Arabidopsis thaliana: one gene and its partner. The protein of the gene in region 1 interacts with the protein of each later gene in a pairwise test. Each region holds a gene or a part of one and is shown on either strand. Other genes may lie near its edges. The genes, in order: PTR1 and AT2G22180.

What was found.
Region 2: the proteins of PTR1 (region 1) and AT2G22180 interact in a protein complementation assay, tested with the Arabidopsis thaliana proteins (one large-scale study listed by BioGRID).

What each region holds. Positions count from the first base shown.
Region 1 is NC_003074.8:20,038,093-20,055,968, forward strand, and holds PTR1 (peptide transporter 1), read right to left. Parts: upstream 10,654-17,876; 5' UTR 10,356-10,653; intron 10,099-10,355; exon of another isoform or gene 10,067-10,098; 5' UTR 10,063-10,066; coding exon 9,957-10,062; intron 9,564-9,956; coding exon 9,346-9,563; intron 9,262-9,345; coding exon 8,708-9,261; intron 8,628-8,707; coding exon 7,793-8,627; 3' UTR 7,511-7,792; downstream 1-7,510. Other genes in the region: PUMP1 (plant uncoupling mitochondrial protein 1), read left to right, coding at 798-875, 1,426-1,641, 1,742-1,820, 1,914-2,047, 2,130-2,228, 2,320-2,424, 2,508-2,585, 2,669-2,755 and 1 more; AT3G54120 (Reticulon family protein), read right to left, coding at 3,177-3,325, 3,413-3,624, 3,689-3,869, 3,972-4,041; AT3G54130 (Josephin family protein), read right to left, coding at 4,803-5,390, 6,083-6,337; AT3G54150 (S-adenosyl-L-methionine-dependent methyltransferases superfamily protein), read right to left, coding at 12,710-12,904, 13,050-13,676, 14,501-14,650; AT3G54160 (RNI-like superfamily protein), read left to right, coding at 15,376-16,227, 16,402-16,542, 16,624-16,935. UniProt on the Arabidopsis thaliana protein: Peptide transporter. Mediates the transport of di- and tripeptides. High affinity transporter with low selectivity. No transport of amino acids.
Region 2 is NC_003071.7:9,415,175-9,431,326, forward strand, and holds AT2G22180 (hydroxyproline-rich glycoprotein family protein), read left to right. Parts: upstream 1-13,568; 5' UTR 13,569-13,794; coding exon 13,795-14,670; 3' UTR 14,671-14,967; downstream 14,968-16,152. Other genes in the region: EME1B (essential meiotic endonuclease 1B), read right to left, coding at 29-143, 230-319, 731-849, 955-1,009, 1,082-1,257, 1,764-1,873, 2,017-2,167, 2,240-2,404 and 3 more; AT2G22145 (ECA1 gametogenesis related family protein), read left to right, coding at 5,146-5,415; AT2G22155 (ECA1 gametogenesis family protein), read left to right, coding at 8,695-9,000; AT2G22160 (Cysteine proteinases superfamily protein), read right to left, coding at 9,969-10,286; PLAT2 (Lipase/lipooxygenase, PLAT/LH2 family protein), read right to left, coding at 11,836-12,312, 12,494-12,568.

The DNA of each region.
Region 1 (17,876 bases):
CTAATCATTTTTTTTGTTTAGGTTTTACATTTTTTATGTATGATGTGAATGGATAATTTTCAAGAGTTTGTCACGTTTGTAGCACATCTTTTTATATGAATAGTTTTTTGGATGTTAGTGTATAAATATAATTTGTCATATCGTTTAGATTAAACAAATATAGGCAAAAGAGTGATTAACGTGTTCTTTTGAAATAGCTAAGAGATACTAACCTATGATGATTAAGTTTATGATACTTAAACTTTTTATCATCGAGGGCACTCTGCATTGTGACGAAGATGTGAAGTAGACCTAGAAGATGACGCACTGACTTTATTGCCACTGCTACAAAGCTAATCAACTTTGTACCAAATATACAAAACTTCGACCTCTCACGATGTTAAACTAATGGAATTATTAGAACTTAAAAAAATCGGATTAGAGATTAAAAAGAAATGAAATTATTTAGAGAGGTAGTTAGTAAAAGTAAATTCGATCCAGCGTGGTGCTGTGTCATTTATTTGACTGGGAATTTTCTTCAGACAGTGAAAGCAACATAATCGATGGATGATACTATTTAACAAAACAGGTCGTCACACACGTGTGTATAAATAAGTAAAGCGCCCACTCCTTTCTCATTTCGTAGCGCGCAGAGAGAGAGAGAGAGGGACGATCTTTTCTATAACTGAAACACTACTCGAGGCCAAGTTGCTTTAGCCGTAATCGTCGTCGTCCCTCTTCCCGATATTATCTCTTCTCTGTTCTTCGATTTCGAAACCCTAACCTCCTCTCTTTAATTCGCGTTTTCTGGATCGAAGATGGTGGCGGCTGGTAAATCCGACCTTTCCTTGCCCAAAACTTTCGCCTGCAGTGCCTTCGCTGCTTGCGTCGGCGAGGTAATCGCCGGATTCCTCAATTTTTCATCTCTTTTAACTCCATTTTTCTTATCGCTGAGTATGCTTCGATTGTACCGGAAAACTATTTGTTCGTTCGAGAAATGTGTGTCGCGATCTAGACTTTGTTGGCTATACGCGGAAATGTATTTTCGAATTTCGTTGGTATTTGTGAAGTTCTGATCAGGTTGATCTTTGTCTTTTTTGTCTTTATCATCGTATAGCTGGAGAATTTTGATTTTAGCTTCTATAGTGTTTCTCCAGATTACGTAATTCCGATAGAAATGATTTGATCTCGGAATAATCGGTCAGATCTGTGGCTAGAAATTGAATTTTGGCATGTGTAGTGTTGTTGATTTATGCTTTAGATATGATTTTGCGAAACATTGAAATGATTATGAGACTTGAAAATGGAATCTATTTGATCATTGTGATTGCTATGCAACGCAACTGTATAATGTTTAATTATCCTCAGAACAACATGTATCTTCTCTTTGGCTGTGTTGTTTCGTCAGATAATTCTGTTCTTATGCAATTAAACTCTCTGGACCAGGTATGCACAATTCCATTGGACACTGCTAAAGTTAGGCTTCAGCTCCAAAAGTCTGCTCTTGCTGGTGATGTTACTCTGCCTAAATATCGAGGATTGTTGGGAACTGTTGGTACCATAGCAAGGGAAGAAGGGTTACGTTCACTATGGAAAGGTGTTGTACCTGGATTGCATCGTCAATGCCTATTTGGAGGTCTTAGGATTGGAATGTATGAGCCGGTGGGTTACAAATTCTTCTTCTTTCATGCTCCAGAAAAGTGCTTAAACTCAGTGTTTTCCTAGTTACTACTTAAAGCCTTAACCAATTTATTCTACTCAGGTGAAAAACTTGTATGTTGGAAAAGACTTTGTAGGTGATGTTCCATTGAGCAAGAAAATTCTTGCTGGTTTGACAACAGGTGAGCATAACGATAGACCAGCTTAGAAAAAACACGTAATATATATTTCCTCTTTATCACTTAGTTGGGCTGTTTTTGTTGTCTAACTCTCAGGTGCACTGGGTATCATGGTAGCAAATCCCACTGATCTTGTGAAAGTTAGGCTTCAGGCCGAAGGAAAACTAGCTGCAGGTGCGCCAAGACGGTATTCTGGAGCGCTGAATGCTTATTCAACAATTGTGAGACAGGTAGTTATCCCGACTTGGAAGTTGAGATTGTGCATAAGTTGCTTCAACTCTACTTCATATCTTATTAATGTGGCTCTGACAGGAAGGAGTCCGAGCTCTTTGGACTGGTCTTGGACCTAACGTAGCAAGAAACGCTATTATCAATGCTGCTGAATTAGCGAGTTACGATCAAGTGAAAGAGGTATGAAACTAATATGTTCTCTGTCTCTCTTTCTAAATAAGAGATCCTGATATTTGAAGCAACCAACATTCCTTTTTTTTTTTGTGTTCAGACGATCTTGAAGATTCCGGGTTTCACTGACAACGTTGTCACACATATTCTATCTGGACTGGGAGCAGGATTCTTTGCTGTCTGCATCGGCTCTCCTGTCGACGTGGTAAAGTATTTACTCATGACATTGAACCTTGAGTTTATTCACCACGTTTCCTGATTGTCTACTTAAATCTTGTTGTGTGGCAGGTTAAGTCAAGAATGATGGGAGATTCTGGTGCTTACAAGGGCACCATTGACTGCTTCGTCAAAACTCTGAAGAGCGACGTAAGCAACTCTGCTTCTGATACCTCCATTGTTCTAGATATAACCCAGAAAATGTTACAAACTCTTTACGGTTTCCTCTACAGGGTCCTATGGCATTTTACAAGGGTTTCATCCCCAACTTTGGACGCCTTGGCTCATGGAACGTAATCATGTTTTTGACCCTCGAACAGGTAACAACTGATAGAATTTTTATTTTATCGCAATCGCATTCGAATCGGTCACGCAAAGTCTTCTTTCTCATTTTCTAATCCGGGTTCTTAATACTCTAATCCAGGCAAAGAAGTATGTCCGGGAACTCGATGCGTCCAAAAGAAACTGAGACACATAGTTTTAAGCAGAGGGAATAAGAGCAACATTGTTTTCTTCTTCATTTTCGGTGATTGAGAGAGGCCAGAACTTGGTCGAATATTGTTTTCGGAATAGAGATTCAGTTTTCGAGTAAAACTGTGAAATAAAATTTCTGTGGATTGCTCATATATTGGCTGTACCATCCAACATTTATCAAAAATCATACATTTTTCTCCTTTCTTTCCACAAAACCGAGAAAAATCAGAAAAAGAAACTCCTGAAGAAGAAAGAGGTGACAGCATCTCAGCTCAGTTTCTTATTTTCCGGATTAGCCCATATCTCGAGTCTAAGGTAAAGCTCTCTAGTTTTGTTGCAGATAAACTCAATAGAGCCAACAATGTAATCCTCATATCTCTCATAGAAAGCTGGAACCGTCATAACCACCAAAACGCCTGCCAAATTAACCAAGAACAACCACAAAATGAATATCCAGCTCAAAAGCATTCCAAGTCTATAGGAGTTTTAGAATATCTACTTACTGGTGTGGCAAAGTGTCTGAAAATCCATGAGACTTCCGATCAATGAGAGAAGAAACAGTGACACTGCTACTTTGGTATACAACTCTGAGTCTCTTGCCATTGCAATGTCATGCGAAACTTGGAGTAGCTTGTTCACATGAATACGTAACCATATCGAAGCTTCTTCCGCCATCGCTTCACTTATTTGAAACTCCGGTAACGGCGGTGATGGCCTGAAGAGCCAAGAAATTGAATCAGAAATGAAGTAATATTAGTTACAAGTGAATATTAATATACCTGTTGAGAATGGAAGCAGATTTGGACCAGAGGAAGAGAATAGAGAGCAAGAGAAGAAGAACACTTGAAATAAGAGTAAAGATAGTGTAAGCAAATGCCTCAAACACCATCCATGAAGCTATTGTCACTGTAACTATACCAACACTCACATTCTTCTTCCTCCACAGCATCACATCTGCAACTGCAGATTCATTTCATAACAAGAAAAAAAAAAGGCTATAGAGGTGAGAGATCACCTAGCTTTTATAAGTTTTGGATTTGGTAAAGAAATGTATTCACTAACCAATGCCTCCTCCCAGAATCTCATGTATTGTCCTGTCTCTGTTGAACAACTTGTCCGAAGAAGAACTCATTTGAGAAGAAAGATCAGAGCAAACTTGGATTCAGATTTCCTCAGATGATCAGATCCCAAAAGTAACCCAGATATGTATATCTTTCTCTGAATGTCAGAAACAGATCATTATGTGAAAGGAAATCCTAAAGGCTCGAATCGAAGGAACCTGATGTATCACAAAGAAAGTAAAAATAAAAAGTGAAGAAGAGACTAAAGTTGGGTCATCACCATCATCATCAAAGCCATCAACTTTGAATATACAAATAATTAATTAATAATTCAAAGGCTATGCTCTGTTTAGGGAAAAAGAAGGTGTTTGTTGTCCTCTCGATGTTTTTATTTCCAGCCTAAAAGTGTTATCCTTCTTGTTTTTTTCAAACTGTAAAAGTTCGCCAGATTGTACTTAGAGATGAATCAAATTTTACACCATCCTTTTATATTTTCCATAGAACACATTTAAATTGGTCATTCATCTACTTTTAGTCAACTGAAGTAATTTATGTACCCTTTTCAGATGTAGTTTCCTATGAATTCGAAAAGGTCGAATCTTTATCCTCAATTTAAGATTGTCAGAAGAATTTAATATGGTAAAAAAATCAAACAAAAACAATTCCACAAACCATTTATTATCCTCTGTTTTCTATCTTTCGATGTAAGCTTTTTTCTTTCTCTGTTCTGTATGTAAAATTGTTGATAACTCTTGATAACAAACCAAAACAAAGAAACAAAAGTGAATATCCCACCACCTCCATCAATAACACTTGTTCTCTATTTTCTCTGCTACTTTTGTTTCTCAGTTTCCTTTTCAGAAGTGCCCACAGCTCCGAGATTGGCCTCAGCAGCAGAAGCATCAAGCAAACTTGCTGCAATTGCTGCCTTCAAGTCATCATCTTCCATCTCTGAAAAAGCCTGCACTTCCTCACGTGACAATGCCTGATTCCGTCTTTGTTGATTAACATTGTCATTACTTCTCTTGTTTCTGGCAGAAGAACCTGAGCTCGTGTTCTTTCTTATTCTCTCTGCGTCTTCAGGAGAAAGCCACTGCCCGAAACTATTGGAAGCTTCAGAAGAAGACGACATGGGACATTCCTGAGGGAAGTTTCCTTTCACTATGAAGATACTCCATCCTGCGCCTTTGAGAGAGTCTAAGAACGCAGAAAGGTAGAACTTCGATAAATGTTGCGGGGCAGCAAGGAGACTATCAAAGTTATACCATTCGCCATTCACTTTCCTTATACAAAACCAATGGTCATGCAAGTGGCAGATAAAGGCGCTTTCAAGCTCAGGGTCTATCTGCGCAGGCTCTGCATCTGGACAATTGAGTGGAATTACTTGTAGATCCCACACTTCCAAAGCTTTTTGCAAGACCTGTCAATCAAACAGAAGCATTCTCAGTTAAACGAATAAGCAAAGACTAGATCAACTTTGCAAGATTAAAATGCTACACCAATCGCATAAACCCTCTGTTTGCAGTGTTTTATCCGCATCCAACTTCAACGTAATCCGTTAAAATAGCTTTAATTTTAGATATCTAAAAATGTGATGTAAAACACCATACTATACCCTTGAATCTCAATACATAAATCTTGCAATCAAACCTGACTTTTGTAGCAACCTAATCAAATATCAAGTTATCAACCAACTCGGTTTAAAGCTATCCAAGAAACAAAAGATGATAATTGAATATACAGAACCTCACTAATAACTAACATATCCAAAACAATTGAGTCCCAAGATAAAAAAAATCATCTCAAGTTCCTCCATTTATCAGCATAGCAATGTTCGCACAATGAAACTAGCCTTCAACAAATGAGTTTTAACCCAAAGTAAAGATCGCAAATTCACACCATTACTGATCTCAATTCTTCTTGAATCTATCTAAAAACGAATCCAACCATTCAAAAGTTTATCACTTCAGCATAAACACAGCAATCAAAAGCACCATAAAATCGAAACCCTAATTTTGCCTAAACTTCCAACAACACAATAACAAAAAGGCTTTACAATATATAAATGTTGAATGCAACTCAAGATTTATCAATTTCATCGCGAATTCGTACCTGGATACTAAAATCGCCGCCGAGGGAAACATTGTGCGACTCTTCAGCTAAGAAATCGCCGGGAGCAAAACCTCCAACGGCAGCACCTTCAAGCATAACCTGACGCTCCTTCCCGTCTAGATCGGCGGCGACGGCAGCCAAATCGAATTCAGAGAAGAAAGGCCCTTGCAACACCGTGTTGACGCAGTGTACGGCGCACAGATTTGACTCTTGAACCTCGTGATACAACATTCCTCCGTTGCTTGTTCGTTCCATCGCCGATTAAGATTTGAATATCAAAATTCACTGATTTTGCGATGAATATATTATTATTGCTCCGATGCAAAAGTCTCAAAGAGATTGTGAAGCGAAGATGAAGATGAAGATGAAGAAAGAAGAAGAAGAAGCAAGTTAACAGATTATTTAAATAAGAAAATGTAAGGGACGGAAAAGTAAATATACAATAAAAGGATGCCACGTGTAATAACCGACTTTCTAGGCCTTTTTCTTATTTTGCAGACGAGCCCGATACTGTTTTGAGATAGGCCCATTATCTCAAAATTGACAGACCAACTTAGGTTCCTTGCTTCCCAAGATTTCTGGTGATCTCTTTGATGGCGACTTCTGATAATGTGATGGGTATGATCGGGTTGGTTTATGCCTGCATTTCGTAATAACCACGTCTGAGAGCACTAATACAGAGTTAGGAATTATACTACTGAGAGCACTAGCAGCAATGTCCGTGAACAGTTTAAGAATTTAGATAAGTTAGTGACAGATTTAAAGAATGAGATTCTGTATAAGCTTTTACGCCCTCTGATTCTTTCATCAAGGTAATACATCTACTACTTCTACCTGTTTGTTCTAAACTCTTATTATGGTCTAAATTTTTCCTTCTTAGCCATATAATTGCAAGGCTAGAGTTGATTATACTTTGTTAAATGATTAGGTTTGGTTTCATTTCCAGATAGTCCTGCTGGCTATTTCCGCTTCCGCTCATTTAGTGACCAAACCTGGCTTCATCGCACCACCACATTCGTAAAATGACAAAAAAACTTTCTCTTTTTCTATGTGCATATAGTTGAGCTCAATAAAAAGCTTGTTTCTGACTATATATATATAAACCATGGGTTTTACTGAACAAATAAACCCCAGAATCAAAATCTGTTTTTGACGCTTGCTTGTCTCAATCTTGTTAGACAACCTCCAAGAAGCCAAGGGGGCTTCCTTATGCATCCTGATCTTGAGCATTTTCCAAACAGTTCAGATATATAGTCAAAAGTAAAGACATCTTCAAAGAAACAGAAGAAAATACTTGATCTCTTTGTTTAATGTCTAGTAGTAAGTTTACATATGTATTGACAATAGGATCCTATGTGCTTTGCTTTTTGTTAAGATTTCCCATGCTGTTGTTTAGTTTTTGATTTTATTTCCCAGCTTATTGCTTATAACTTCCAATGTATATAATAAGTTTCTTAAGAGCAATGGCAAAATATAGGAGGACATATTATCAGACGGTCAAAAAGCTTTAAGCAAAAAGCTCATAAAATAGTTACCAATAGCCTTTTACATATAAGTGGAAGACTGGAAGTATTCAGAAATACATAAGCAAAACCAAAACAAACCTAACACACCAACAACAACTAGACCACATACAAAAAACATTTACAAGCAAAACACTTTTCAAACAAATACTGTTAACTCCAAATATCTTCCACACCAGTTTCTTGATCAATGTGCTCGACCAACAGCTTTCTTGTATTTGTAGCGTTTTGAAATCCAGAGGTACACTAAGAAGTTGAGGAAACTGAGAGTTGCCAACAAGTAGAAAAAGTAATCAAGATGGCCTCGGTTCAAGTTATCCGGTATCCAACCCGGTTTACCGTTCTTCTTCGTTATCTTCATCACAACCGTCACAAGAACTGTGCTCAAATAGTTCCCCAACGCAACCGTGGTCAACGACAAAGCAGAGCAGAGACTTCTCATGGCATCAGGAGCCTGATCATAGAAAAACTCAAGCTGACCTATAAAGGTGAAAACTTCTGCACAACCGATAAGTAAATACTGCGGTATCTGCCAGAATATCGACATATGGATCTGTTTTTGGTCATATGCATTGTGAGTTTTGACATAATCAAGCCTGACAACCTCCAAGACTCCTGCAGTGATCATGGCAAAGATGGAGACCACAAGACCTATACCCATACGTTGAAGCTGAGTGAAGCCTCGTTCATTGCGTGTGAACTTTCTTGCCAGCGGGATAATGAACTGGTCATAGACAGGAGTCCAGAAGAGTACACTGACAGTGTCGAAAAGTGAGAGTGAAGCTGATGGGATTTCAAAGTTTTTTCCCATGTGTTGGTCCATTGTGTTTCCTTGTAACACAAACATTGTGCTCATTTGGCTGTACACTGTGGCGAAGACTATTCCTGTGGCCCAAACTGGAAGAAGTGTGATTATTGACTTAAGTTCTTCAACTTGAGTAACAGAACATAGTCTCCATGGATTGACTTCCCCGTCTTTGATGCTATCAGATTGACTCTCAACCGCTGCCTTGTCAAAAAACCTGAGATGTTTTCAAAACTTTAGATTTGAAAACAGAGTATTTTTGAAGTTAGGATAAAGATTCAAACTTTAGTTTCTTACTTTAAGTTATCTGTGTGCACAAGTTTCCGGCTACCTTTGATGTTACTCTCATCATCTGCAGTTTCAAAGAGCAGAGACTTGTCCTCTGGAACCTTAACACTTATCTTCCGAAAAGCCGCTACTATAACCTGAAAGATCCTAGTAAGTGGACTCCCTCCAGGTCTCTGAAGTCTGTAAAAACGGCTTCCGAAGAAGAAAAAGCAAACCGCGATAACCATCGCGACTGTTGGAACACCGAAACCCCATCCCCAACCAACATTCATTTGTATCCAGACGAGAACAGTTGCAGCAATGAGAGCTCCAACATTAATGGAGAAGTAAAACCAGTTGAAGAAAGAACTTTTCTTGATCTTCTCATTCTCATCATTCTCATCAAACTGATCAGCTCCAAAGGACGAAACACACGGCTTTATACCGCCAGTTCCAAGAGCAATCATATAAAGCGCGACAAAGAAAACAGCAGTCTGACTAGAATTTGGATGACAAGTATCAGCATTGCAGTTACCTGGTTTAAGTCCAGGAACTGAAGCTGATAATGTCAAAAGAGTCATACCCTTCAAGAGAAAAAACAAACTTAATTAGTTTTAACCAAAAGATTCACATTTTTAACCAAAAGATAAGAAACAAGTAAAACTCACGGAGACATAGATGAAAACAAAAGTTGCAATAGTCCAATATCGTCCAAGGTAAGCATCAGCTATAAAGGCTCCAATCAAAGGAGTTATATAACATGTTCCAGACCAATTCGTGACGTTATTTGCAGCCGTAGCATTGCCTTGATTCAGACGGCTCTCAAGATAATTCACAAGGTTAGTGCCCATGCCATAGTAGGCCAATCTTTCACAGCACTCATTTCCTACACAAAACACATAAAACTGGTTAATCTTATATGGATAGATCCAATCAGGGCCCAAGCTATATAATAAAAAAATATAATGGCCCTTTCTTTATTTAGACAATTTTTTTGAAGAAAACAGAGCAGATTTTAGGTTTATAACTCTTTTTTCATAGTGATCACCCTACAAAACTAAACATTTCCAATAATATTTTAAATTTTATTTGTTCTCTATCATTCAATTTGCTTTTAATCGTATATAATCTCTTTTTAATCATTACATTTATTATTTACATGTAAATGTTTTTAGTGGACCTTAAAAAACAGGGGACACGAGAGGCCATTACTTAAGCTGGTCCAGGTCCTATACGGCAATAATGAAGAAAAAGATTGGTGAAACGATTAGAACGTTACCGAGAATGAAGCGGCAAGCTTTCCAATTTCCGGTTTTCTCCTTGTTTGCAGGATTTTTGTGAATATCAACAGTTCCATCTTGCGTATACACATCTTTTTCTTCCATATTCCTAATAAAGAAAAATAGTTTAGCTTTTTCAAGAAAGATGTACCAAACACATACCTAAAGATCCCCAATTTAGAGATCCATACTTCAGGTATAAGGTTATGAGAAAACCCTTAAAAATATACGTGAAAGAAATTGACTAGTAGATGCTTAGATCGAAATATGCAGATGAAGCAAGCAAGTACGAAATTTTCATGCTCTGAAATTATAGTTTATGTGTGACCAGATGAGGTTATGGTTGTAACTTGTAACGAAAGGAAAACTCATAAAAGACTTAGAAAAAAGGGAGAAACCTTTGTCGGCGGCAGCTGAATCAGCGGCGGAGACGAGAGGCAAGAAGAGAAAAGAGTAGCCGAGGGCGAGGAATTACACGGCACTTGTCGGAGTAATAATGAGCATGAGCTTATAAAAAAGACTTGCAGAGCTCTGGTCCCGTACAGCTTTTATATCCAAGGAAATAGAAAGGAGCGTTGCTCACTTTTCTTCTCATGTTTGCAGTTTAACCCTTTGAGTTTTTGTATATTTCAGTTAGAGCCGCAAGGCCTATTGTGCTATCAGATTTTGATATTATCTTGTTTTGACTCCAAAGTGTAAATAGATCAATATCGAAGGACGTGTTAATCATCCACCAAAACTTTAGTGGACTCTTTTTGTTTTTTATCCGATATTACGGAATTGACATTACCAGAAAGATAACAAGAAAGAACTCCTACTCAAAACAAGAAAGATACAAGTGTGAATACAAACACTTTGGTCAATAAGATGATTTGGAGTTTTCTTATAAAATTGAGTTCATACTCTTTCTTTTTTTATTTGAAACTTGTGTTCATACTCTAAATATCAGATTGTCGATTTTGAAAAAAAAAAATAGTTAGGTTTATTAAATTTGGTTTTGGTTGATGTTTGATTTTGGATATGTGAAAATAAAGCCAAAAACATCACTAGATTCAATATTCAATTTGGTGGTTCAGTCTAAATCCATTTGATTAAATCTCTAATCACTCCCTCGATTAAAAACATTGTTTCAGCTTTAAGGTCTCAGTGGATCTTAAAATATAAACTAGGGTAGTGATATTAGAAAGATAATTAAAGGTGTTTGATTTGGTTATGCTAAAATAAGAGGTGCTAATGACAATTAGTAATAAAGTAACCGTTGATCTAAAGATTCACCGAGGACGAATATTAAAAGATGCATGTGAATCGACATATGTAGCTGGATCCTGTTTATCTACGAGGATTTGGCTGTTTATCGACTTAGTTGTTGGACTTGAACTCTTTACTCCAAAAGCCCAACAAACTAAAGAGACAAAACCAAAAGTAAAATTTGATGTTTATGAAGCTAAATTTGAAAAAGAAAATATATCTGACCAAATTTGATATTTATAAAGAAAACATATTTGATGTATTTAACAATTTTTAAATTGATGACGTTTAGTTGCAAACAAAATAAATAAATAAATAAAATAGGTAAAAAACAGTGTGCTTTGATTGCTTTTATTTCATTGGAAGTCTTACCACGGCTTCCATACTCTTGTAGTCAACTTTTCTTACATATTCGTCTAATCAGTTATACCAATATATACTTTTGAAGTACACTAACTAGTTTTTGTTTTTTTTGTTAAAACATTAACTAGTTGTTGGGATGTGACATCGAGACTATGATGTTTCAAGGTGGATTTTGTGCAACGTGAGTAAGTAATCTTTGATCAGTGGTTTGAACTTTGAACTAATCATTATATCATTTGACACATTTTAAAATCAAGAACTAATAATTAACTATAAAACTTCAACGTTGATATGAAAGGTTGTTGCGAGGTCCAACTTTAATAGAATAAGTACGAAAATTGTTGTCAGATCTAACTGAAAATATAAGTAAAAGATAACACTTGATAGATCCACAAATCAATGATGTGCAATTATATAGAAATTTGGATCACTCATATTTGATTATTATTTCACGGGAATCATAGTAGTTGACCTTTTGATTCTAGTCTAATCCATTGATTCTTCAAATCCAATTAAGAAAAACCAATTTGTGCTTCAATTCAAAGCATTCTTTTTTTTTTTTCTTTCTGAAATTAAGATCAATTCTCTAAGCTAGCTAAAACGTATACTTGAGAGCTGTTTGGGAAGATAACTCTCTAGAAAGAAAAGCTAAAAGGTAATCTAGGTATCATCACTATCGACGACAACTTTGTTTGCCATTAACTTTTTAAAAAGTTGTAACTAATCTCACAACAGATCAAACCTGAAATAAGCGTGTAGTTTTATTTTATTTTATCAAAAGGTTAGATAAATGAATTAAAAATTCCTTATTTTTGGGCGTCAAGAATTCACATCCACGAAAACATTATATTATGACCGCTAAAGAAAGGTTACATCTAGGCTTTTTTTTTTTTTTTTTTTTTTTTTGTTTTGTGTATGGTGAATGGAAACTCCAATTTTCATTTCTTTTCGCCACCAGATGTTTCCATTTTACATAAAGTCTTCAAAATTTTCTTTGGAACTCCCAAATCCAATAATTGACATACTCAACATGAACTTTATTACTCAGTTGTACAAAAACCAACGGCTTTAATACGGAATAATGAACTGATATCCAAATAAGAGTTATTGCTTTCTCAAATGGTTTAATATCTATTTTTGGTTAAAACCTGTAATGAGTACTAAAAACTGACGATGGTTTATCTTTGCATGCGTCATCTTCACTTGTATTTTGTTTCTTACTTTGTCTGTCTCCTTCATCGGATGGTTGTGGTCTTTTCTGGTTTCTCCCAACCTCCGTTTCAAGCAAGAGACGACCTTTGTTAGACAGTACTTGATCAGATTCGAATTTTTCTTCCTGTTCAAAGACAAATTGTACCAAAACCTAAGTAATAATAGTTGATATTTCCTTAACCAAAAAAAAACACTAGTTGTTATTTTAGTGTAAAAAATTAAGTATATTTTAACGTATTGAATGATTGCCTAAGATGTTGTAGTCATACCGGAATTTTTCCAACAATCATGTGAGCCTTGTAGAAAACATCTTTCACTTGGGTTTCATCACCCCAAGCCTCCTCAAATTTGGTTATTAGATCTTCATTTATAAGCTCTACTCCTTTTTCCTTAGCCTTCATCGCGGGCTGCCACGATCTCAAGAACCCTATAAACCCTTTAAGCGAAAGTTTATGCGGAATGTCTAGAGTAATAGGCTTTCCTTCGGAACCCATCCCTATGGTCTCAAAAGGAAATGTCAATGTCTTGTAACCGTCAAATGCTAAATTCATAATAGGAGTTCTAAAAGGTAGAGTAGAGTCGACAAGGCGCTTCATTATGGGATCGATCTCATGCGAGATAATGATATCGTTGTATACCCAAACGGCGATTAGGCCTCCTTCTTTACGAAGAACACGTTTTGCAACATTGTAAAATACGTTGAGGTCGAAGAAATGGACAGCTTGAGCAGCAACTATGAGATCCACGGAGTTTTCTCCCCCGAGTAGATCCACCATCTCATCTTCTGATATCGTTGTTGGAGTGTGATGGTAACTGATTCTTGAGTGTTTGATTGCTCGTTGAAGTTGTGCTTCGTTTATATCGGTAGCCACTACATTCTCGTAATGCTCCACAAGCTGTAAATTATAGATTTCATGGTATTGTCAAGCTTAGTTCACCTACTATATTCTATATGTGCATGCATAAACATCAATAGGCAATCTGCAAGAGGCGAGTTCACTTAACTTATTTTGACAACATATATTTCAGTTTATAACTTGAGTGGTGACGACAGTAATACTTATCACTAGGTTGCAAGTCTTGAACAAATTCACTTACTATACATTATATATGTATGATATACCCACAATTCCACATGCATGGTCTCATTTACCGTTGATGAAATATTAATGTTTTGTGAATCTAGTAAAACAAAACAACATCTAAGCTCAGTTTTGTCTTTAATTTACATTTTCTTCCAAATCAGTCTAAGCTCATTTGCTAAAGACTATATAAGTTACGTAACTTCATTTTTCCTACCTCTTTTTGATGTAAATATTTTTTTAAACATTATTTTAGGTTAAAAATATCTATAAAAAATTATGCATATATTAAATACGTAATAAAACAGCAAAGATCGTTGACTAAAAAGATAAAAATAACAAGATCAAGAGGCTGAATAACAACAATCAAATTTGCCGCAACCAAGTTTGACTAATCTTTAGAATGATAGACATGATCACATGATGATTCACTGAAAGAGGCCCTCCTAAGTAAATTAGCTACCTTGTTGCTAGATATTTATCAGCAAATCTCAGTATCACAAATCATACTAACTAGAACTTCATACTAAAGGAAAAAAAAAAAAAGAAAAAAAAATAAAAAAGAACTTCATACTAAATGAAGGTTTTCAGATTTTCCCAAATCTAAATTAGAAGATATATAGTATTATAAAGCTTACCCCAATAGCAGCCTGACCATTACCAGTTCCAACATCCCAAGCAAATTTGTGGTCCTGTGTCCGTGCGGCAATTTTCTTAAACCAATCGATCGGATATCTAGGCCTTGCGTCGAGATAAGCTTCAGCCTCTTTCTCTGATAAGGCAGCCATTTTCTTCTACGTACCTCTCTCGTTTTCTTTCCTTGGTTTGAATACACAACTAATTCGTTTTCTATTTAAACTCTCTCGAGTCTTGAATAGTCTTGTTTCTATTAATATATTATGAAAAAGTTTAACCAAGTCCAACTTGGCGTGAGGTAAAGTTTCACTGCAAGTCCTTCCTAAGACGTCGTTTAAGACTTTTTTGTTTTAATATATTTTTTGTCGAAGACAAAATAGTCAGTATATAGTTGTAAACCAATATGCAGGCAATGCAAGTTTCCACGAAATGGTAGAGAAAAAAATGATTTAGTTATAATCAATTTTCTTTCAATCTCGAAAAAGGAAAATTGTACATATAATCTGTGTTTTATCTGTATTAGTGTTAGGCCCAAGTTCATTAGCTGAAGTTTCAAGTCATAATGGGCTCAATTTTGGGCTTATCTCTTGGGTTTAGTTTTTACAAGATAAAGTTGATAAAGTGAAGACTAAAATGAGGAAAAGAGAGGGTCTCGAGCGCTTTTTACTCTTTCTTCTTCACGAGAGCAGTGTCGTTGCTCTGATCTTGTAACTGTAACTCCGGCGGATTTTGCCGTTTATACTGGATTTTTCCGGTGTAGTATGTGATTCCTCCGATATAGACGCTAAAATCACTGTTCACCGTGAAACTCGTACATCAAATTTCGTCAATTGCGTTTCTTTATCGCTTTTGAGTTTCGACTACAATTCATGAAACCATGAGTGAGATCGTGAGAGTTCAAGAGATCGTTTCTAAACTCTGGAACCTAAACATAGCCTCCAAAAAATCCCCGAATCTGGTTACGATCATATCGAATGTTGGTTATAATCCTTCGTTTGAAACTAATGGAAGCTTCAAAGATTTCGTTTCTCGATTACTAGCTCGACGTGACAGTTACCGTATAAGGAGATTCTCTTTGAAACTACGTTCTTTGGAATTTGATTCAGCTAAGTACCATCTTGTCAACGAATGTCTACGCAATGTGTTGAATCGAGGTGTTTTGGATCTTGAATTGGACATCAATGTCAATGAAGTTTACAAATTGCCATTTGAGGTCTTCACTTGCAAGAAAGTTGTGAAATTGAAACTAGGTTCTGATTTTGTTATTGACAATATCCCTAAGAACGCTTTGCTTCCAGCTCTTAAGACTCTCTTTCTTGATAAAGTTCGGTTCATTGATAAAAGTGGTGGTTGTGCGTTTACAAGGCTTGTTTCTGCTTGCCCTGTGCTAGAGGATTTAGTGATATATAGGAACAACCGTGAAGATTGGGAATGGTCTCGCATTGTGTCTAGTAAGATCCTTAAGAAACTTACTATTCGGCGTGAAGACTGGGAAGATCTTGATGGCTCTAGTTATGAGTCAATTAGTTTTGATACTCCGAGTCTTGAATACTTCGAATACTTTGATGTTCTCCGAGATGGGTATCCAGTTGTTGATCTCAAGTCCCTTGTTGAAGCTAAGCTAGAACTTCCTCTTTTTATGGTTGGCGATACCTACGATGTTAAGAATCTGATTAAGGGCTTAGAAAATGTTCAGATTCTGAGCTTAGGCGTTGTTGACACGATGCAGGTAAGTGATCGCTATTGTTTCTCTTTAATATGTTACTGTAGCTTAACAACTAGTAGAGCATGAGGAAATTTAAATCTAGGAACCATTGAGATACTAAGATCATATCAATCTTGCTAGTGATTAGAATGTTTGCTCAAGTAATGACTGACTTAGTTGTTTTTAATTCTGTTTCAGGTGTTTTGTTTCTTCGAAGAAGCAGTACCAGTGTTTGAAAACCTGTTTCATTTATCACTTAGCACTGAAGTAGATTTCTGTTGGAATGTTCTACCAATTCTGCTTGAGAAATCTCCAAATCTAAAGACTCTCACCATTCAGGTATGACCTAAGACCCCCAAAAGTATATTGGACAAACTAAAGAGTCAAAATCTTCAATCTCAAAATTCCTGTCTTTTCTAGGCTTTGCATTATACTACTAATCACTATGGGGATGAGAACACTGTTTGCGATTGTTTGGAGGTGTATTCTTTCTTATCGTCCTGCCATATTGAGGTTCTAAAGATAACCCAGTTCAAGGGAGATATCGGAGAGATGGTGCAAATAAAGCATATCTTGGAGAAATTGCCGAGTCTTGAGCTGTTGGAAATTCATGGTCAGGTAAAAGGAGATGACAAAAAGCTGCAGATCATGTTGGATCTCCTAATGTTCGAAAGAGCTTCGTCTGAATGCAAAGTCGAGGTCAAGTTTCCAGTTTGTTTTGCCTCAGCATGAACTTCCATATCTGATAAGAGAAACAAATGAGCTTCCGGTTTGTTGTTGACATGAGAGCTGGTTTGTTTAGTGTCTTTCTTATCCATGCAATTTCTGTATATAACAGCTTGACATTTTTGTCATCTTTGGCTCCTTGTTGTGTCGTTTCTTCGTGCCTAATTCACTTGAGTTTGTAAGAGAGATGCTATAGCTATTAGCTATCAGCTACGTTAGGTCTACTATGACTCATTTGTGCTGTATGTTATTGTTACTTTACAGTTTACACAGTCTATTTGACAATTTGGTAAATGGGATATGATTTGACTGATGTTGTTTGTTTCGGCTCTAGTAACATTGTAGTTTATATGTTTTATCAACGAGCTAAAAATATCTCAGTATATGCAATGCGCAGAGAACTAGAACAAAGCTTGATTTAAAAAAGAAACACATCATAAACCAACATACACAAGAACTAGATGATTATGGCTACAAGAGACTAAAGTTGTTATATAGATTGTGTCCAGAGATACAAATACAATACACACGAAGTCATTAAGCATTGACACTCAATTGTTACAAAACCCGAAACCATCACACATAAACGTAGCCATAGTCAGATAATGAGAAGAGAAACACAAATACGTAGCCATAGACAGATAATGAGCAGAGAAATATAGTTGAATCTCTTTTTTTTCACCTAGTAAATAATGAAATTGCTAACAAAAAAGGGATTTTATTTGTATTTTAGTCAAATAAGTAATCTACATAGTATTTTTGCAAAATTTTTTGTCGGGATGCATTTAGATCAATTTGGTATCCGCCCATTTTAATAATTTTGTTCATTGAGTCTTAGTTGGGTCGGTTCAAATAAAACTCGATTCTAGACCTGTTTTAAAAACTTTTACAACGGATATTTCCAGATTAAACAATATTAATAATTAGAAGATTTGGTTAACATTTAA
Region 2 (16,152 bases), on another chromosome or scaffold:
CAAGTATGTCTCACATGTTTTTACTTACCGATTTGTTACGATCCATATAAACCTTAAGAAGAGACTTCATGGAGGGATATTTCTTCCACACTGCTAAAGCGTATCGTGGCTGTACCTTTGGTATTGCTACTAACGCTTTTAACCTATAGACCGTAATAATTTTACTTATTGAACAGATTCAAAATGACTAAAACACAACCTATTTTCAAAATGTTCTACTTTACTTTACCATGGACTCTTTTTAATCAAATGCTTGTCAACTGAATCCTTGGAGACTAATGCACCATTAGCGCTTACTGATAACATAGTTAATTTCTTCCTGTGCATCACATAGTAGAGCCATGATTAGTTTCACTTCAAAATCATGCAGAGAAATACATTATTAGCCACACGTTCATCTATCAACTACAGCTCTACGTAATGTTGACCTCCCAGATATTCGGTAGTCAGCCTTGTATGATTTAAAGACTATAAGAGGCTTTACAGATCTTATTTCAAGACAAGCCTTACTGCCCATTTTTGTGATGACTCCCAATGTTAGATCTTTATTTCGTTAAGTTGTTAAACGCGTGAAGATGTATATGATTTAGACTTCACAGGTTTTCATCAAAATATTATTGCTTTGATTGGTCTAACGGGATTCATTGAGGAAAGAAATCAAAAATTCCATCCAACATCAATCGAGATAAAGTCTTCTGTAAGAGAAATCAAAATAGTAGATTTTTGGTACCTGAATTGGCAAGAGGCCAGACTGCTTGTTAGGCCAACAATATGTTCAGCCACCTCAGCCTCGTCTACACAGTGTCTGGAATGTACTTTAACATAGTGAGTAGTTAATTTTGCAAGTACCTGTGTAATACATATCAAATGCCCCAAAAGTATGTTTAAAAACACAAACATAGGAGCAACAAATAGGCTTTCCTCTACATACATTATCACTAGGTAATGTATTACCTCATCGATAGGAGGCCGTCTCCAATTTCCCGGATTTTTGTACTCTTCCTTTTCCCTAGAAGATTGGTTTTATTCAGCTTGATGACGGAAACATTAATATAACACCAAATCACTTTATCAAACACACCTTTTCTTTACGTAGGACATTAACTTATTCGTGAGGCAGCACACCGTATAAGATGGGTATCTGTCCTGAACTCTTGAGATGATTTCTAGAAATTTTCCATTAGCAACAAGATTACAAAATTCTTCAGCGTCATACACAAGTAGCAAATAAGGAATCTTGGGCCCTTGGGGGAAAAGCTGCACCAGAGAAAAGAGGATGTTAATAAAGAGTAAAATAAGATACTGGATACAGATGTTTCATATAGTTTTAGTCAAGTACTGACTTCAAAGACCCTTTAACCCATAGCAAAAGGGTTTCATTTCCTTTGTTATATTTCATAACATGTAACGCAATTCAATGTCAGGTGTAATGAAGTAATCTTCGATCGATTTCTTTCTAAGAAATATTGAAGACTTTCAAAATAGTTTTTCAAAACTCCTGCCATTCAAAGACTATCCAAAGATGAAATAATAGCTTTGACTACCTCCACTAAAATTACGAAGATATGAAACTTGCAACACAGAAGAGTATGATCCAAACGTCAAAGAAATTTTGAAACACATATTGAAGTAACATGCTTATCCTGAGATTAAACAAGAATACGGACCAGATTAGGGAGCTAGTTCTTGTTGCAAGTTCTGGATTCTAAGAACTAATTTTCATACATGACAAAAAAACAAAAGTGATTGAGAATTAATTGTACCGGAGCAATATCCTCTGGAATTGTCATCGTCCACACAATGGATCTCTCAATTGGATTAGGGCCTACGTGGATTGTAATGCCTTTCTCAGAGAACCTTGAAAGCAGAAGTCCTATGTTCACATTATACCAGAGGCACTCAGTGTCTATACTTAAAGTGACAAACCATTCATATGAAACAAAAAAAAGAGAGTCAAAGAAAAAACATCTATAGGATCTATTGAAAAGTAATACAAAGAATAGAGAAATTCCTCACCTCCAATGGATCCTTCAAGCACTTTAGTATCAATCTCGGCAACAATAGATTTAAGGGCTAACTTTCCCTTTTCCCATTTTTTCTTCTCCTTCTCTAATCTTTTACGCTCAGCCTCTTCTGCTTTTGAGGCTGCTTTCTCTAATCTCTCTTGCTGGATTATGGAAGCCAGTCAACAATTGATAAAGAAACAAAAAAATAGAAAAGTCATGTAAAGAACACTTACCTCTTTTCTTAACTTCTTTTCCTCCATTGCACTTGTTTTGTCTTCCTTCGACTGCCGCTTTTTTGGCAATGCCTCACCTGGAACTGGAAGAGTTGTAGTTCTGATCTTCTTTTTTCGACCAATTTTCTCAACGCTTATATCCTCTTTTTCTTGGTCAGAAACAACCTGATACCATTTAGAAATAAGAGTAAGAGAGAAACAAAATAAAAGAAAAAAACATCAGCACAACGTGAACTCTTAAAATACAAACAAATGAGACGTTATGGGAATCCAGAATTGTCACATTCTCAAAAAGACAGCTTTGCAAAATCATACAACGAATAAAGTCAACAATCCCTTAATCCTGTACCAATGATGAACAATATGGTACTAGTTCCTTGCAGATAAGTACCTCAATAGTATCATTAGTTGGCGAAGAGCGAAAACTGACTTCATGCATCCAACTAGTATCATCGTCTGAAAAAATACAGCAATCAGCATTTGTATGTGGACCCTACAAATGAAGTTCATCATGTATACTCTGATATATATGCACAATAATTTGGTTTTGGGGTAAGCATACCTAAATTTGTCTCAGGTATTCTAGTATTCTTATAGTATGCCTCACTGGTTTCGGCTTCCAATCCAAACCGAGGCTCCCTTAAACCAGCAAGCACGGATTCATTCTTCTTCGAAGTTTCAGGTCGAGGACTATCTTCAAACTCCGAATCCAGAGATATTATCCGTTTGCCTAGTGAGATTCCAAAAGAAACATAGAGATATTGTTTAGCCTGATGATTCTGCCTAAGATCCCCAGAAATCACAAAATTTTCGCTAGTAGAACAAGCTTTCCGGTATCAATTTCCTGTAGAAAATGCTAAAGCTAAACCTAAACACTGAGAATCGAGAAAATTCCGAGGACGAACATTAACTAACCGGAGAATTTGTCTTCGCGGTTAGAAGCTAAAGCTCTAGAACCAAAGGAACACTTGACGACAGAGAAATCATCGGAAAGAGGTGTCTCAGGGACGAAAATAGGAGTAAAAGAAGATTCCGGCGGTTGCTTCTGCGGTGTCGGATCTGAATCCGATATCAGTATCGCAGAGATTGGATATTTTCGAGCCCGTTTCGACAGTGATGGAAGTGGAGTAGTCTGATCCTCACCGTCAGAGATGAGAATGTGATCGTTCATGGAAGAGAGAGTTTTGAATTTCGACTGAGCGCGGGACTATCGAGGAAGATGATGATGATTCGAATTTCGAAATCGCCGATAACGAACGCAGAGGTTAAGCAACGTTTGGCTGCATGGTTATCTGTATTCAAAAAATATGGAGTGTTTGGATACAGGTTCATCTTCATTCTTCATCATATATCGAGTTTAGTAAATACGGCTACTGGATTTTGCTGACTATTATCGCTTTTATGGCCCAATAAGCGGCCTACAATGGACGACTTAACAAAAGTCACTGAAATTTTAATTGGTAACCGTTTTGGAGAATTGTGTCACTATTCTTCTTCATTTTTTCATTGAAAAAACAAGTATAGAACTTTCCAAAATATATGCTATATATCTAATAATATTTGTTCAAATTTTTGGTTTCTTTTTTTTTTCTGGTAGGCCCAAATTTTTGGTTTCTATTATTAGATAGTTAACCCGCATTATATGTGAAATAAATTATTAAATAAATATATTGTAGTAAATTACAAAAGTTACTATGTTATTATTTGAAATTTGAAATTTGTTTGTTTATTATGTAATGTAAATTTTATTTAAAATAATTTGAACCAGCAATTTTTTGTATTAAAATTATTATTATTCATACATTGATTGATTTAAACATGTATATAAGTTCTATAAATAAATTAGTTCTTATGTTCATAATTTTAACGGAAAATTTTGGAATCTTCTGATTAAATTTAATTAATATTATATTTTTAGAATCTTCTGAATATTTATAATTTAATTAATTTTAATTGTTTTATATATTTTGAAATATTTTTATTTACAAAAGTATTGGTAATATCTGATTAGAAAAAATAAAGGTAGTTTATATATTAATATCTTTGTTAACATATAATTTTCATGTCTATATATTAAAAACAAAGATATTTGTATATAATACTAATAGTTAATTTTGTGAATAATCTAATAAAGGATGGACAATGATTTAAGTTGGTTGAGAATTTGTCTGGTTGTAACACGTCAGCATGACATCTCTGTAAATACCACGGTAGCTAAAAGTTATTCTTTAAGTGTGTTTTTCTATTAATATAATTCATTTTTACCCATTCCTCAGTTCGGACATTGTAATGTCCTCTTTACGTGAAATGTTTATTCATCAGAAGTTCAACATAAAATATCTTGCAAAATTATTTGATTGAAGATGATTTTCCATGAAGAAATGATGTCGTGCATGTTGATTGAAGAAATATATAAGGAAATGTATACACAAAGAGTTATACTTTGAAAAGAAGAGTAAAATATGAATATATCATAGCAAAAAAAAAAATCTACAACAATTAAATTAAAAGATATGTTATCCTAGATATAGGATCATATCTATATCTAATTAAAAACATGCATGCCTTAATACACATAATCACTTATATAGTTATATTCTATATGATCTTCAAATTGGGTAGCAATTAATATGTTACTGAATTATGCTTATTTTTCTGACTAGGTGAAATGCAGAAGAAGAAGAACTACTAATTTACGTAAATCAAAATCCAAAAATTCTATTTAACAAAATAAAATAAAAATCTAACCATTCTATTCAAAACATATGGTAATGAACAACCATAAAAAGCTGACATAATTAGCATCATCATCAACAACATAAGTGTCACAAACTAAATTCATTTAATTGGTTTATAATTTGATAAAGCAAATCGCATCTAAGACAGTGAAGACAACTTTTCTGCTCATGGTTCTTGCTTTTTTGATAACTTGGTCATGTTCTAGTGCTCAACCGATAGATCCTAACGCATGTTGGCAGACGATTAAACACCCACCACATGAATGTCTCGAGAGCATAAAGAGGATTTTCCACGGACATGTCCATGGGATCAAGAAAGAATGTTGCGAAACCGTAAGTACAATTTCTGATTTATGTTGGCCAATCATCTTCCCGAGCATGCCTTACATTCGCTTTCTATTGAAGGGTATTTGCACTGTCAAATACTCATTGCATTGAAGTGCCAATTTGAAGAGTATTTGCTTCATTTTTATATTATTAAGAATGACAATATTTATCTATTTTAATACTTGTCAAATGTATTCTACATATAATTATCTTACATATTTTTGTTGAATGAATTTAAAATCTGTGTTTTTTTTTTCATATAATAAAAGTACAACGAATGAAGGCGGTTAAAGATTGTTTGGCTCTAGTGAAAATTTCATCAACTAATGTCATCACATCAATTTGTTTTCGGAATGCCCCTTTCAATTAAACTCATTTCTACAATAAAGCTATCTCAAGATCAACATTACATACACAAAGAGAAACGAAATCACCATTACAAACACACTGATAAAATCAAACACAATTAATAAGGTATGAATGAAATACATGAAACCCTATGGACGGAAGTCGATTTCTTTGACAAAGAGGAGATATACACATGCGACGAAAGCATTGATGTTTGGGAATGATATGGCGGATAAATCGCAAACTCTAAAGCCCCAAATTCATGAAACGAGGTTGTTTGGTCTAGTTACTATGTTTCCTTTCTCGAGAAATTTAAATGGACATGCCATTGTTTTAAAATGATTTAATTATGTCATTGCGTTAATTTTGATTATATATATTACGTGTCATTTGATTAAGCATGTTTACATGGTAACGTAAGGTTCAGTGTACACTTGATTTCGAATCAAATCCCTCTTTTTCATTATACATATTTGGGGTTACTATTGATACCAAATGAGAAACTATAGATTTTCAACTCAAAATCTATCAGCAATGAGTTTATTGTTATATGCATGTCTCTTATATATCACTGAAAATGCAAGAGTACTTTGGTTTTGGGATATTATCCCTAACATGCCTCTTCAAAATGATGATAATTCTACCCATTTATTTCGATAGAACCTTATTATAGAGGATCATTCCCGGTAGGACAAAACTCTTTATTAAAACTCCAAAGCTCTTACAGAAACAAATGTGGTCACATTATGAATGGAACTAGCAAAATGAAACCCAAAGCTGAAAACAGGAAAGAGCTAGAAACTCCTCAATTATTATTTAGGACATTATATTGAACCATATCCTAATAAAAAACATCTAAGGTGGAGTCTGTGTTTTAGAGAAGCCAATGAACTCGACTTCAACCTTGAGCGCATCTTCCACCACTAAACCTTTAGATGCATTTTTAAGATCTGCAAATGGTACAAACTTCTCGAAACCCCATCCATTATTATTAGCTGTTGCATTAGGCCATCCATCCACTGTCCATCAAAAAAATATATGAATCAATCAAAAGTTTTAGTTGTTAACAAAATTAAAGGAAATATAAATAGGGAGAGCACACTGACCTAGCTTCTCCACGTGGTTGGATCGGATTTGGTCAAGAACTCTTAGCTTGGCTCGAACATAAGCCTTTTCATTAGACTCGCTCAACAAATAGACTGACGATGAATTGCCCTTTACAAAACCATCTCCATTTGGATATACCTTCAATACCCTATATCATTAACATTACTTATTAACACATTGACGTAAAGATACCGTAGTGTTTGTGTATATATCTATATGTTATGGAGAGAAGAGAGAGATTCACCAGCTACTTCCTCCAGAAGAAAAAAGGGCGGATGTGTAAGAGTCACTATAGAGAGTTGAAAATCTGTTGAGTTTCCATGTGTAAATGGGATCTTTGATGTTTTCTTCAAAGGAGAAAACTTCCCATTCATTCAAGGTTTGAGCAACGAAGATGTCAATTCCAAACACACACTGTTCTCCATCGAAAATGTATCCGGTTGTCAGCGTTGAGAACACCGATGTGGGTTGAAATTACGGCACTCCGTATTCAGGTTTGAATAAATGAAACCTCCTTGCCTCAGTTTGTACAACAACATTCATTTATAATAGATGTTCAGTTAAGTACTGGACCCAAAAGATAGTTACCATGCATGATACTTTATTTTTTCTGATTGATCAGAACGTTTGGTTAATAGTAAATGTGACATAGCATATCATTATTGTCCAAACATAGCAATAAACTGGAAATGAAGATCTTTTTTTTTTTGACAGCCTCGAAATGAAAATCTGCTAGCACTGAAACAACACTTTTCTAACCGGGTGGGGGGCAATAGGTTACATTACATACCTTGGTAGGTATAGTATTTGTCGTAGATTCTGTTGTAGACGAAGAACTTGACCTCTGCGTACACATCCTTTGGATTGGAGATGAGAGTTGAGTTATCGATTCTTGCGTAAAGCGAAACGTATCCAGTAGCGCCATCTTGTTTGTTTGCCTGGCTGCTCTATTCCGACCATTTATATGTGAATTTTTGTTATTTTTTGCCTAAGTGATTGAATAAAGCAACAATTATATATATATATATATATATATAAAAGATTTTCTTTGATGAAGATCATGGTTTGCTTTCCTTAATTAGCCAGCAGGTTTGATCCACGTTTGCCGACTAATTTTCTTCTTCCGTGACTGACATCTAACATCTATGGTGGATCCTCCTTGTTTAGTTGTAATTCGAGATGGGTTTTGTTTGTATAGATCCAACACGTCGTCAATATAGAAAATTACACCTGAAGAAACATTAAACTTAAATATCAAAGAGTATTTTTTTGTAACATAACAACTAGTTTTAAGTTCTCATTACGTATATAACTAAAAGATGTGCATGGAACAAATAAGATTTAAATGTAAATTTTTTTGCAGTCTAAACTTAAATTTAACAATTCTTATGTTGATCATCTTCAAATTAAAATGTTTTTCTTGTTTTGAAGTTCTGAAAAATTGATTAATTATTAACATTTTATGAAAAATAGTTGATGAGGTGATATTGTATATCTAGGATTATATATAAATAAATCTAGTCATCATTAGTAATTCTCTAATTTATTTGGCACAAAATTTACAAAAACGTTCAGGTGGCACTCTCTAGTTGGCGAAATGCTTAATTACTTTGGTAATATATATATGATACGTAAATGTATTTTGTAGTGAGTGTATTATATGTCCACGTACACAAAATTAAGTGACATTGTTGAAAAGGCTATCTTTTATAAAGGAAATGATCATGAATTTGAATGGCATATATACCAAGATATATGGAACTCTATTATCATATCTGCTAGGTGAAATGAGCAAACGAAAATCTACCAATTTGAATAAACTCATATCTCTAGTCATTCTACCAAAACAAAGTATAAAAAGCTCCACCATCATTAACATATTACAAAAAAAAAACTAAACAATTTTTTGGGTTTTTTAATTTAATTATAGAAAAAATGGAATCTAAGACGATGAAGATTATAATTTTTCTTATGGTTTTTGTTTTTGCAATGACTTGGTCTCCTTCGAGTGCTCAACCAACGGATCCGGAGGGGTGTTTTAAGGCGTTTAAAAGCACATCAAGAGGATGTCTCGAAAGCATAAAAGGAATTTTACATGGACATGTCCATGGGATCAAGAAAGAATGTTGTGAAACCGTTAGTATAGTTTCTGATATGTGTTGGCCAATAATTTTCCCAAGCATGCCTTACATTCGTTTTGTATTAAAGGGTATTTGTACTATTAAATACTCTTTGCATTGAGGCATTTGAGGATTCGTTATGTTTAATAAGTGAGAATAAAAGACCATCTATGATAATAAAATATGAACAATTCTTACATTCACCTCTTCTCTAATAACCAATTAAAAGTTGACATGTCATCTATTTAAAATAACAAATAAAATAAATCATTAATAATTCAAAACTGAATTAATTGTAAAGCCCACTAAGTCTCTTCCTAAATCCAAACTAACGAAAATAAAACTAAACCCTAATTCTCACTTTATAAGGCATTAACTCTAACCTTATTTATAGTTTTTCTCTATTCTTCTTCCCACACATACAAAAAAGATTAGTTTTATCGGAGGAAGGATATCATTATCATTGTTTCCACACAATTTGAATATAAGTCAAAATACTTATTTATATGTGCATCAAAATTTCTTAGTTTTTTTTTTTATTTTGGTGATTTTGTTGTACTAAAGTTCAAATAATGGCATCTGTGGAAAGAAAATACTAAGGATAAATAAGGTAAATATTAATTTAATTAATTTATTTAAATTCTAAAAAGGAAAATACATTATTAATTAAGAAAATGACCAATCAAAATAAACATATAAGATTTTGATATCTAACTTAGCATATTAATTTATTATTAATCATATATTTTTCTTTTCATCTTTACATGATTCTATTTTTGTGAAACAAATAAATCTTCATATAAAGAAAAGCTAGATTTTTTTCTGCATATGTCATTATTTGAATTTTGAAAAACGAATCGAAATTGTTCAATCTATGATAGAAAACTTGTAATGGGTCAAAAATTCAGACTTGAGTAATATATTTGTTTTAAACAAAAATAAATTTAACAAAAACTCCGACTGAGTAACGAGTTATAATTTGAATATTTTATATACTGCAATAAACTTTTTAATAATTTACTTTAGAACATTTAAAGATAGTCTTACTTTACTTGATATTTTTAAATAATATCATTATTAAAACGTTTCTTAGGACTTCTTACTACACGTTGGTCCTTGATCTTTGACATTGGTGACGGCTCCTTTCTCTCTCCAATCCAAGGAATCTGGTGCTTGAGTCATATTCTCGTAGAAGAACGGTTTGGAGTCGAGTATTTTCTTGTGATCACTCATATCAAAACATGTGTGAGCGTTGACAAACTCGACGTCGGTCAAGTTTGCAAACTTGTTGAGCTTGAGCTTGTACGGTTTTCTCTCCTTGTTGGTTTTGACAATATATTCTGCATTTTTTTTAAATACATCGAAACTACTTTCTGTTTGGTGGATGGGCACAAGATAGTGGCCCATCCACCTCTTGTACAACTTTTCCAGACCCTCATCACTTTTTAGCTTTGTCTCATTGTATTTGTTCCATGAGCTTTTAGCTCTAGAATGAGAAGAGTAAACATAAGAATAATTAAGATATGCTTAGTCATTTTGTTTGATTTCTTCTTTTTGATTGTTTTTAGTGCGAGAGTTAAGTAGACAAACGAACACATTCATATATACTTGGTGGATCAAACTTTTTTCTTAATTGCACTGAATGTGTGCATGTGATCGTTAACACAAAAATAGACAATTATATAGTTAATGCTTTAACCTTAAATTAGTTTTTGTCTCAACGAAATTATTAGCCTATCATCTTTTTACGTACCAGTTAAGTCCAAAGAGGTATGAGAAATGAGATGAACATGCGATCATTAACTGTTTCGATGTATTTGAAGATTTTTATGATGAAACAATGTTTTCTCGTCTTTGAAAGCAATATCTTCAAAGTCTTACGCGGCAATTCAAATAAGTCTGTTATTACTTTGTTGCATCGAATCATGTGATCGTTAGTTTAAAGGATTATCACTAGGTTCACTACTTTATCATTTTCTTCATTGTAGTTTATATGACATTTAATTTTCTGTCAATTAATATGATTGAATAAAACCATTTTAATCTGTTTCTTCTAATTTTTATGAGAATCATAAATTCTTTCTTTTTAGACAGTTACTATTATTAAGAAAGAAAAAAACATGTTCTAGGGGGATGGAGATTAGACATAAATATTTTGACCTTAACGAAGTCTTTGTAAATAAATATTATACAATCAGTAATTATCTTTTAAAGGCATATTGTCTATTTATTTTATGTCTAGCTTGTATATTGCTTTGTGGTTCTATAGATTATGTGTGCAGGGATGATCTTTTTCAATTTTCATTGAGGAACTTATTGCTCACACCTTCTTTTATAGATTTAAAAGACGATTAGGAGCATAGTGAGATTTATATGGTGCCTTAGGAGGAATTTTAAAGTCATTCATTTGATAATGGTTTTCAGTTATTAGTATGACCCAAAGAAATGTTCCGTTTCAACCAAATGTCACTTAATTAGGAGGTTTAGGCCAATACCAATTAATGTCGTTGATGTTTCTTACAAAATTGTAAGTTTCTTGTTGACTTTTTGAACATGCACAAAAATGATTAAAATTGTGAAGATCCACTCTGTATTAAATGTTTAAAATTACATCGAAAAATGTGAAAAGGGCCCATCTTTTATACTATTTGGCAAAGTTTTGATTAATCATAAGGTTGTAGCTTTGAACGTTTATTTGTGAAAATAAAACGAAACAAAGAAACTATATCAACCAGTAATTATCTTTTTTTCTTTTTAATATGATCAGTAATTATCTTTTAATTTCATCACACGAAAAACTTAATAATGTTTGATAAAAATCTCACAAACAACAAAGAACGGAACTTTTATTCGATCGAATCATTTTCATTATTGCCATCACACGTTCACAAGACAACAAAGAACAACTCTCCAAGTTACACACACACATACACATTTGACATTTCATTCACTACTCTCACACGATCCAAGAGAGAGTCTTCCGGATCTCAGACCCGACCCGACCGACACTTTCCCTAAGCGAAACTGGACAGTTATTCCGAACAGCACTGAGCTCATACGGCGATGTATCGGACGCAAGCCATTGCTCAACATCAAAGCTTTGGTACGAGCACTTTGCATGAACTCCGGCTGTCGTGACTTCCACGTAGTTAACATACCAACCGTGGTGGTCACCGGAGCCGTCAGAGGTCAGATTTAATGAACAGACTGGGCTCGGAAGACATGGTGCTTTCCCACTGAAAATGTCGAGATTACCCCTCTCGTAGTAGTTGTAACCTGGTCCCATTAAACCACCCCATGCTTCTAGGTTTCGGATCCCGATGTAGTCTCCGTATTTGTCGTAGACTCTAGCGCTTATGATCGAATCTGTACCGGCTTTGAAGGTTGATCCGGTTCTAAGGAAGAATGTGTAGACACAATCTGCTTCATCGTCCTGTGAAATCAAGAAAGTCATTTTTTTAAATGGGAAGAAACAGAAGTTTGTAGTCTAATAGTTTAAACTAATGTCATTGATGTTGTGTCATTATATACATATTCAAATCTGGTTAATGTGTGTGTCTAGTTCTAGACAAAATCATATATGAGAGGAAGCAAGTCAGATTTGGAAAACTTACGGCTAATGCGACAGCGGAGACGGTGGCGATGACGAGGAGGAGTGAGAGGAAGAGGACGTCACGGCGAGGCATCATCGGTGATATGGATGTATAAGAAAGAGAGATCTAGTCTATGGAAATATTAATAGAAATGTTGAAAATGCTAAAGTATATGAGAGTTTAGATTTCAATGATTTAATTATCGTCTGTTTTGGGAGTTGCGTATGAAGATGACGTGGTCGTTTTTGGTCCGTTGGAATGAGTAAGAAATAAGAATAAAAATACTTAAGGATCCTATAAGCACGTCGTTAACTCGGCGGACAGGTCGGCATGGGTTGTCAGATTTCGAAAAAAATTGCATATTTTTTTTTGTCACAAACGCAAATCTTCGTGAGATACAATACAAATGCACTTCATTTTTCGCCAATTAGAATGTAATGTAACAGTTTCCAGTGTAATGCTCGCAACATAACATGTTTCACGTGGATTGGGGCCGGGGAAGAATTAGAGAAACATTAATTTTTGTTTTTGCTTTTTGAAAGAAAACTTTCGACCATATGAAGGTAAGATTTCCTTTAATTTCCTTGATATTTTCATGTACATATGTTTGATTTATAAATGAAAATTAAGTGATTGTGTGTTTTTCAAAGAAAGAAAAATGAAATAAATTTTGGATAGTATTGTCAGCGAAGCAGCAACAAGGCCCACAAACATAATTTTGAATGGCCGGTTGCTGCGGATTAATGTGTGTAAATACATACATTCCGTTCATGTCAATCCCAACGTATATTCGTATATATGCATTTTTCGCTTTCTAAAGAAACAGAAGTTGCAAGAGAATTGAAATAAAAAACACTTTAATGAAAATTTGGTCCAGAAATACCACCCAAAAATGGTTTTAGTTCGAAACGTACAAAATAAAATAAGACTCGTTCATGATAAACATTACCAATATGTGCTAACCTTTTTAAGATTTTACTCATGTATGTCTTATATGCATATATAATTTATGTTAGAAAATCGATATCTTGTAAACAAAAAGTAACAACTTCGTTGATCATCATCAAATGCCATAATACTATATTATATGAGTTCTGTAATATAGTTTTCTAAATAACAGAAAAAGGGAAATTTAAGGTGAGCTGGCTAACTCTAAATAGCAAAATCTTCTCAAAACCAACCAAAAGTTTGAGTCATGCAACAACAACCACTTACTTTTCCCATGCAAACCCTAATTTTCGCATCCTCTCTTAATTCTCTCTCTTTCGTCTTCTCTGTAGACCAATCTCCACCACACATCTCGTAACTCCCACCTTTCTCCGATGGAGGGGCCACGGCGTCCTCCTTCCGCCACCGCCCCTGACTCTGACGATGACAAACCCGATGATCCTCCGTCCGTTTGGCACCGTCCAACCTCTAGCCTCCCCGCATTGCCATCTTTAGATCCTCCATCGCACGGTTCACACCATTGGCGTAATCATTCTCTTAATCTGTCTCCACTCCCAACGACATCTTCTCCGCCTCTTCCTCCTCCGGATTCAATCCCTGAGTTAGAGACGTACGTTGTCCAAGTCCCGAGAGATCAAGTCTATTGGACCCCTCCTCCGGAACATGCAAAATACGTCGAGAAACGCAGCAAGAACCCGGAGAAAAACAAAAAGAAAGGGTGTTCTAAACGTCTTTTGTGGTTCTTCATTATCTTGGTCATTTTCGGATTCTTACTCGGTGCAATCATTCTCATCCTCCATTTCGCTTTCAACCCCACTCTTCCTGTTTTCGCGGTCGAGAGATTGACCGTAAATCCTAGTAATTTTGAGGTCACATTAAGAGCCGAGAATCCAACGTCTAACATGGGAGTACGCTACATGATGGAAAAGAACGGGGTCGTTTCCTTAACGTACAAGAATAAGAGCCTGGGGAGCGGGAAATTTCCGGGGTTGTCCCAGGCCGCATCTGGATCCGACAAGGTCAATGTGAAGCTTAATGGGTCGACCAAGAACGCAGTTGTACAACCTCGTGGATCGAAGCAACCGGTTGTTCTGATGCTGAATATGGAGCTGAAGGCTGAGTATGAAGCAGGGCCGGTCAAACGGAACAAGGAAGTGGTGGTGACTTGTGATGTTAAGGTTAAGGGACTATTAGATGCGAAGAAGGTTGAGATTGTGTCGGAGAATTGTGAGAGTGAGTTCAAGAACTGACACTCGCTCTATATATATTTTATATATAACATGATTGTGTCGTTAGAGTTAACAATGTGCTTAATTAATTCATACTTTCTATGTAATGTTCAATTGTTCATTTTTTTTCCCTAATGTCTTTGTTTTTACTCTATATTGTTGAGCGACAAAAGAAAACGTGAACAAGAAGAACACAATAGAGTGAGCGTCTTTTTTTTTTTTTAAATGTACCTTTGCTTTTACAAATAAATTTAGTTTAGCCCAGATTACAAATAAACAGACTAGTCAGAACTTCTTAAAAACAGAAGATATAATTGGGCCTAAATGCAAAAGTAACATTTCACCTCCTAAGATTTTTCCTAGACCAAGTGTGTACAAGCAATACTCCGAAAACTTGATGGGATCATTCCCTCTTTTTTTTTTCTTTTTTTTTTTATCATTCTCTTTTTGATAAGATCATTCTCATTTCTCAGTGTTGTTAGTTTTATTATAGAAATGTAACTTACATTTTGGGAATAAGTGCCGTCTGTACATTTCTATTAGTTTAACTTTCTCTTTTTCTGTTGGAATGTAAAATTTAGCTTCAACAAAGATATTTATATTTTAATTAATAGAGAATTTCAAAAGTTTGAAAGAAAAGATAGACTTTTAAAAGAATGAAGATTGAAAAGAAACAAATAGACTTTTAGAAGAATGGAAGTTGAAAAGAAACAATCTTGATCAGTACTTCTTCCTTCGAGCCAACATCTAATGAGGTCGTGAAGACAAGTCATATTAAAATATAGGTGCGAGGAGACCCGATCTGTTATTTTGTCGATCACTAGAGCTGACGGTTTACTGTTTCGTACGGTAAAAATTGAATATAGTCATTACACTATCGCTCACAACAAACATAAGAGATAGAAGCTGAGAATTTTGATAGTGCCATTGACGAGGTGGGGTTGCATATGCATCCAATCAGGAGTGAGATGCGAGCTTAGTAGAGGACCACCAACTTAAGGCCACGTTTTGAAGGAGAAAGGACTCATAAAAATATATGATCTTTGGCTTCGTCGAATTCGCCATAGTCCATAGAGGTACTTGTCTGCGAATGCAACTACCCGTTTAGAGGCGAATGTGTTAATAAACGGAAATGCTTTGCGAGAATCTGGCCTCACCATCTTATTGTTCAATAAGTGGAATGTATTAATAAGAAAATACAAATTATGAAAGTTTATACAAAAATATTTTTATATTTCACCGCAGATTTCAAAATGCAATGTTCTTTTTTTTTTGTGCGCTAGTTATTTTAAATATACTTGATTATTTTAAAAAATCGAATATACATAAAGAATCATTTATTCTATACCCCTACCATCTACCAAGAAAAGGTTGAGTGGTCATTTTCGCGAAACCACAGTGGAGAAACAATAATTGTGTATAAAGATATTCCACTAGAAAGTGAAACAAATAGGTCCAATTATTTATTAAGGGCACCTTTGGACCATTTTCACAGTCCTAATT